2 linked regions of the Schizosaccharomyces pombe genome follow. The gene in region 1 interacts genetically with each later gene. Each region holds a gene or a part of one and is shown in the gene's direction. Other genes may lie near its edges.

The links.
Region 2: mutations in vsl1 (region 1) and fsv1 impair growth when combined (synthetic growth defect), as found in Schizosaccharomyces pombe (one study listed by BioGRID).

Annotation. Positions count from the first base shown.
Region 1 is NC_003421.2:365,032-369,156, reverse strand, and holds vsl1 (SNARE protein Vam7), read left to right. Parts: upstream 1-2,145; 5' UTR 2,146-2,167; coding exon 2,168-2,203; exon of another isoform or gene 2,204-2,239; coding exon 2,240-3,229; 3' UTR 3,230-3,559; downstream 3,560-4,125. Other genes in the region: bouquet formation protein Bqt3, read left to right, coding at 162-317, 367-978; Set1C PHD finger subunit Spf1, read left to right, coding at 3,679-4,125.
Region 2 is NC_003424.3:1,312,728-1,316,499, reverse strand, and holds fsv1 (SNARE Stx8), read left to right. Parts: upstream 1-2,019; 5' UTR 2,020-2,035; coding exon 2,036-2,779; 3' UTR 2,780-3,264; downstream 3,265-3,772. Other genes in the region: tvp15 (COPI-coated vesicle-associated protein), read right to left, coding at 3-401. UniProt on the Schizosaccharomyces pombe protein: Involved in vesicle-mediated protein transport between the Golgi and the vacuole.

The DNA of each region.
Region 1 (4,125 bases):
TTCCATAGACTTACTACCTAAATTCAAAGGATCCTGGTTTCCTGCTGATTCATTATTTACCATTTCACAGACTCCATTGTTTGAAGATACTGTTACCTGATCAATCGTTACTTGTGTGTTCATCGATGACAAACTATATGAAAACTACCAATATTCGCAAAATGTCAGGATCGAAGTGCTGTTCGTCTTCAAACACCATAAAGGTGTCCATTTACCTATTTTTACACACGTTAACTTATGGCTTGCTAAATTATCACCTCAATCCACGATTATTAGCTTCCACGGGGGTGGTGGAAAGTGATATTCCTTACTGGATGGTATGCAGATCATTATATAAGTTTAGATTTACTAACAATGGATTGAAAGAGTTATTTATCAATTATTATGCACGTTGGTCAATCTCTTCTGTTGCAGAAATTCAACCTAGGTTATGGATGGCTTTTACTTACGAAATATCCAGTATACGTGCTTCTCTCGACCTACTACCTTACTCCTTTGAGTCAAATTGCTTGGGCATTCATAATTGACGCCATTTCTTTGCTAGTGGCGCGCTGTTTCTCTAGAGCTAACCCCATCAAATGTTCAAACCAAGTCAACACACAGTATAGTGTCTCTTTCCTATTCACAATTATGGCGAGTGTATTGATCAGCGTGCTTAATTATATATCACAAAAGATATTCTTAAACGGTCTTATTCTTGGAAACTCCCATAACGTTGTTACTAGTCTCGTTGCCCCTCCGCTCCCGTTACAATATCTTGCCCATGTACCAATTGGTTACGTTATTCAAAGAGTCGTGTTTAGTGAAAGGCCTATTCCCCAATCATTATTTTTGATGATTTTCCTTACTCTGTGGAATTGCTTTATTCCTTATTCAATTTTGTTTTCAATGAATTGGTCCGCCATGTTCCAAGTGGTGGGTGCTTACTTGTCACAAATTTGGATTATCACTTTTATCTGCTGGGCATTGTCTCTGTAAAGTTCGAGTTCTGTTTCTTTTACATCATTTTTTTTCTTGTAATGTAGTTAGTTGGTTGTTTACTTCCTGGTGGAAGTTCTCATGGGCTTATCTTAATTCATTGTATCTGTTATGGGATTTTCCAAATTTGTCTATATGTCTTTACTCGTGTTCAATAATTTCAGTGAGGTAACGTCAAACTTTTTTCATCAGGTTAATGCCCTTTTTCTTCTCTTTTTCATTTTTCGTTTTCACGGTGGAATTTATTTCTGATGAAGGAGGCAGATTTCTTCTTTCTGAGTTGAACATCATGTGTGGAACTGACTATGAATATATGTAATTTAATGACTGTGGTTTCAAATTGATTCCGAACTCTTTTAAAAGATATCCATTGTGGGATGTTTCGTCCTTTATTCTCATCTATTAGGGTCGCATAGTTTGAATTGGATGATCGTTCAAAAGCAGTATATGGTTATACTTTAAGCAAATGTGAGAAGTCTTTTCGCTGTATATTTTTCCCTCTCGTGATATGAAAAAACAGTTGTTAAGTTCCACTAGTACTATTATATATCATCTGTGGGGCCTTTATATTTACATGACATGTATTTTAAGTGAAAAATCTTTATGCATATCAGAGTACTGTTGTTATTTGGAATCTACCTATACTTACACTTTTGCATAATGTTACGATCTGGCGTTTATTCTGTGCTTTTAATACTTTAGGCAAGTCGCGCTTGCAACCAATCCATGTAGGAAAATATAGAAAATAAACAATTTCTGTTTATTACTAAGCTTCGTTAAGATTTTGCCGTTCTTCTGTTTAGGTATTGTAATTACTTGTAAGTTGCACCGTTCACGAGTGCCAAAAAAAATACTCAATAATCTGACTATAAAGTGTTTAAAGGTATAAGATAATATACTAACCTAATTCATTATTTTAATTTCTAAATCTATTGCAAACTGGTAAACTTTCTTTCAATACCTGCCAATTCGATAATCGTAAAGGCATCTCGCGCATCAAGGAAAACATGAGGTTTAAAGGATCTAAAGCATCATGAAACTGAAATTTATCTTTATTCAACTAATAGAACCTATACTATTTGAAAGCTCAAATTCTACATTATACAGTTTTATAACGATAGTGCAGTAAATCCGATACAGTAGTCTGTTGTTCATGAACTCATTGTTGATCAACCTGTTCATAGCAAGTATGGCGCTAAAAATTAAAATACCAGAAACGTCTCAAGTAAGCTTTATTCCTTTAATTTTTACTTACAACTAGTCTTCTGATGAATATTCACGATGGACGGTTTACCATATTGAAGTAGCATTTCCGAATGGTGGGAAACATGTTGTATTTCGTCGGTTCAATGAATTCGTTGCTTTGGATGCTCAAATTCGGCCAAATGACTACAACAGTAGACTTTGCAAACTCCCCTCTAAATCTTGGGTTTCTTCAACTGTGACAAATGAAAAGTTACGTGAATCTCGACGACTTGCTTTACAAGCTTACGTTCAATGCCTTTCAGAAACGCCATGGATAAAAATGCCTGTGGTTAAAAAATTTCTAAATATTAAAGATGAATCGGAAGATGAAACACAGGGTCAGTTTTTGGGTCCGACAGATTGGATTCAAGTATTTCAAGATTGTAAACGTAATTTACATATGTACCGAGTTGACTTAATGAGTGGAAAAAGCATTACGATAGGAGTTCAAACAAAGAATGTCTATGCAATAAAGTCGCTAATGGATAACCTTTCAGAATCGTTAGACAAATTAGAATTAGCAAATGCTCTTGGTCCAGGAGAAATCCTTCGACGAAAAGATATGTTAGAACAGCTTGGTTCTGAATTCTTGTCATTTAAACGGTTAGTTAAAAATGCAAACAGCCCAGTCGCTCCTCCTTCTGCCTCATCTCAATTAAACTCTTCTAATCCTAGTTCTCCCTTTCGCCCATTATCTGCATCTACTGACAAACAATCTAATACCTCTTTGAACAGAGTCCTTGGAAAAAACAGAATGCCAGAGACACAGACAACAAAAAAGCTTGATAATGTAGGACTGTACAACATGCAGAATCAAACTATGGAAGATCAAGATATGCAAGCAGAATCGTTATTGCCTATTATTCAAAGGCAGAAGGAGCTTTCGAAAATGATTAATCAAGAAGTTGTCGAGCAAAACTCCATGTTAGACGAGCTTTCTAATGAAGCATATGCAAACCAAAAAAAGCTACACAGAACACGAGCTGGCCTTCGCAAATTGGGTTAATATTTGGGTGTTTATGAGTATTTGATTTAATTTCACGAAATTTAATGGAATCTTCTTTTGCAGTTTTGTCTTGTTTTCTATCCAATTCTGCTACATTAGTGATTGTCTTGGATGAGATTATCTGGGCTAAAAATATTTATTATTTGGTGTATTTGCGTTCTTTCCTTTTTTTTTTTTTTTGTTTAATCTTCTTGAAGATACCGCAGTAACCTCTGTGAGTTATATAGGCATGGTTAGTTCGTCCGTCAAGGTTGAAATAATTGTCTCCTTTAATTAAGCTTGATATTAATATACGACTTGTTTAAATTTCAACTTGTTTTGACAGACCCCATTTCTTTTGTATTTTGGTTTGGCTTGTAGTTCCTTTTAATGCATTTAGTGTACTGTGCTTAAGCTCGCTTTCTTTAGATTTTACTTATTGACAGACTTAGACAACTGAAATTCCAATAATGGAATTAACGCAAGAGAATACTGAGGAAAATGAAAAAACTCATGTAGAATCAATTGTAAAATTTGAGGATTCGAATAGAGGCACCATTACTGATTTTCATATCGAGACAGCTAACAATGAGGAAGAGAAAGACGCCAACGTAATTCTCAATAAATCTGTTAAAATGGAGGTTGAAGAAGTCAACGGTCACGTTGATTCTTCCTCAACGGAAACAGACATAGAAATGCAAGTCATTCAACAGCCTACAATACCCAAAAAACCACCCGTATCAGCTCATAGAAGGGGTCCACGAAAACACCGAGGAAATGCGAATAGCCAACTCAATCTGTCTACAGCCGATCATCAAAGACCATTGTATTGTATATGCCAAAAGCCTGATGATGGATCATGGATGTTAGGATGTGATGGTTGCGAAGATTGGTTTCATGGCACTTGCGTTAATATA
Region 2 (3,772 bases), on another chromosome or scaffold:
GTCTACACTTCATCAACGTTATCATCCCAATCATTATCACGCATGCTTCTGGGAGCGTAGTCTTGCAATCCTGCTACGTAGTTTGCACCACAGTAGGCGATACCTGCAAGAAGAACTAAAAAGCCTAGGAAAGAAGTAAACCCGGAGTAAGAAAAGAGTAAAGTACCCATGAAAGCGTAGAAGAAGCCCCTTCCTAAGAATGAGAACATGAACGATCCATATTTAATAGCAATAGGAGGAATTTCCTTTTCTAAACCAATAGTTCCCAAACCGAAAACGATGATGAACAATGCAAGTAAAGCGTTTACGAAGCTAAATGAAAATAACTTGATAAATCCGCTTAAAACGAAGATACCACCTACGCCCAAATTAATGGCACTAAACATTTTTGTTTTATCCATTGTGAATTAAGTGTATGCAACCAATATTAAATTTTTCAAGCAATATGTATTTTAGTCGATGTTTGCTTAAAGACAAAGAGAAATGCAAGTTACTAAGCCTGCCTATGCTTACCGATGCGGTCATGCATATTTACGAACTATTGAAATACGGTAAATAAAAATAACGAATTCCATAATTCTCAACCAACTTTTTGTTGTTTACAGAAAATGAATAATTCAATTCATCGAAAATGCATTTTGTTTTCTATAGCATTCTTTGTACTGTTTTTGAAGTTAAAAACACTATCATTTAGTAAATAATGTACTTTCGACCCGGCTTTTTTTTGAGACAACTGTTGTTGACAATTTTAAGGTCTGTGGGTCAATTTATATATTTGTCAAACGTTCGTAAACAAATGTATTTGTATCTTAGTTTCATACGAGCTCCTTTAGCTATATGTGATCTACTCTCACTCGGGATCTACAGGGCTGTAAAATTTTTTGCACTCAAGTTTCACGCGATTATTATCAGATGCACCTGAATAAAAAAGAATAAAGTAAAATAAAAAGCCGAATGTTTTATAACGTAGTAAAATTCCTTCTTATTTTGATCGCTTTGCCATTCATTTGATTATGTTTATAATGATAATTTCACGTGCAATGTCAACTTTGATAGACGGCTACATCTATTTCTAATTCGTAACGCTATAAAAAAAAACTCCATTTTAAACTGAGAATAAAGCAAGAAGTCGATTAGCCGAATATAGATATCAGCATGATTCGTTTTAAACGGCCCAAAGCCTTGTATATATTTGAGTAATTTTCTACTGTACTTAATTGTCTGTAATTAAACAACTATTTGTTACTCCTACCTTGTTACACTTGGATTTAATACTCTGGAATTAGTGTACTAACTCCTAAATAAATATTTAAGTAGTATTTTTCTTTAAGATATTTCTTTAATAAACATTCTCTTCTAATGAAAAGAAAAGCGTCATTATTGGTATTTTAGTTTTCAGAGCAAAGAGGTACTTAACATTTATTATGTCGCAATTATTTTATATATATATTATATTAATATTTTGTAATGAGAAACCTAGGCCTAATAGTGTAGTGGTTAACATACCTCTTTCGGGTAATCCCCACTTGTATGCTGAGTTTAGAGGTGATCCCTGGTTCGAATCCTGGTTAGGCCCCTTTTTATACTGGGCTTGCTGTATAAATTTATCTGATTAATTTTGAAACTACGCAAACCAACTTTCAATAATTAAAAAGTTTTCCTTACACCTTGCTTGATTACCTTTTAATAGATGTGAAATAAGAACTACTAAATTTGTGATAAATACCGAAAACAATCAGAAGAGTCGAAAAGAAGCATTCAAAAAATTGTGTAAATAACGAGTAGGTTTCTAATAATACGATAATTTCACAGGATGCCTATAATGGATCTGGCAGCTAATGAGCAAATCATTTTTACTTTTTTTTTTATTTAAAACATACGAAAAGATTCTCTTTTTTTGCTGCAAACAAAATTTACTGTAATTGAACCTAGAATTGGTAGCAAAGGCATTACACCGTATTACTGTAAACTTCACTAATGTTTGTGTTTTTAGGCGCATGATGAACATGATTACTCAAGAAAGTAACCAGCGACTATGTCAAATTTGCTTCTGATCATTGACTCGGTTTCACAAAAAATAAGAGACAGGAGGAAGTTGGAAGAGTTTGGACAGAATCCCGATGAAGAAATTGAGTCTTCATTGAAAGATGTTCGGCAAGAATTGCAAAAACTTAATGAGGAGCAATCGCGATTAGAGAAAAATGCACAAATCCCAGAGTACAGAGTACGAGAATCCGAAGCATTTCTTATTAGAATGCAAAGGAGGTTAGAGTCTGCTGAGGAAGAGTTTGAGAAGCAGCGGCGTGCATCCTCAATTCCTGCTGACGGAACAAGTGCCTTTTCTGCAAACCCGCAAGTTGCAAGTACGAATAATAAGTTAACTCCCCTTCCTTCTTTACAAAAAACGACTTCGAGTAGTGAGGGATCTGATATTGAGATGGAGGCCATGTATCCGGTTGATGGCAATGACCCTGATCCCATAAACGTAAACGTTTTGGCTCAAATGCATCAGCAAATGCTCAACGAACAAGAAGAATCTTTAGGAGGGATCGAAGCAAGTGTCCAAAGGCAAAAGCGGATGGGATATGCAATGAATACAGAATTGTCCGAACAAAATGTTTTACTAGATAATATGAATAATGATGCTGATCGAATTGAGAGGAGGTTTGATCATGCAAAAAATCGATTAAACAAGGTCAGCCGAAAGGCTAAACAGTATCCCAGATGCTTTATTATTTTGCTCCTTTGTGCGTTGTTATTACTTGTGGCTTCCATTTAGGGTGCAAATAAATATCACTTAGCAATTGTACTTGCTGTAACTCTGTTACACTTTCACTTAATTCTTTTATTTCACGTCCTCTTTGAACTAGGCTATATAGTTCTTTTATTTATATTTAATAACCGTGATATTTACGAACTTTTTTTTTACGATTTTGAAAATGTTTTTGTGATCTTCAACTTCTTTTGCTAAACGAACCTTCCCTTTATAGGGAATACAGAAATTAACTTTTTCGTACATTCCAGTTTCTAACCATTGACTGTCTTTCTACTTTAGTAATTATTTTTCTGCTAGCGCATTTCTTATCGAAATCATTTTTGTGTTCTTTTAAGGGCCGTCCCCCTTGTTCACAAAGCTAGTTTTGACGACTTAAATCAAGTGAATATAGTGCATGCAGAGTGAATGCTTAATAACCATTTGTTACAAACTTTGTTTCGCTAATAACTCCTTATTTGACATTTGAATAAATAACCTATTAGACTTTCAAAATTTTTAGATTCAGGGCAGTAAACAATAAACAACAATATCTTCAATTAGCTGTATCAATTTATTTTCAGAAGTTTTGCTATATTATTCCTTCATCTCATTAAAAAATATTCTCTTCTATTATTAAACATACGTAGTCATGTTATCATTATCATTATTAAGGAAAAGTTTGAACGAGTAGATTCTTTCTTGAGAATTAAGGGAACATGTGCTTGAATGCCATTTTTTTCATCTTAAATATAAAGCCTCCGTTGCTATTGTTAACCATATCACGCTGAACCTTTTTTGATAATAAAATATCAGAAGCAACCCTCTTAACTAATGTGTTGTGAACCTCTCAGCATTGCATATCTTAGCGTAATTAAATATTCGGTAAAAGAGGATCGTTTTCCTATCAACAATTGAACCCCAAATCAAAATATTCAAAACTTCAGATCAATCCTTAAATTAATTAAAAACCGAATCAAAGCTAGTTGATTTTTGTTTAAAAAAACTAAAAGATGCATT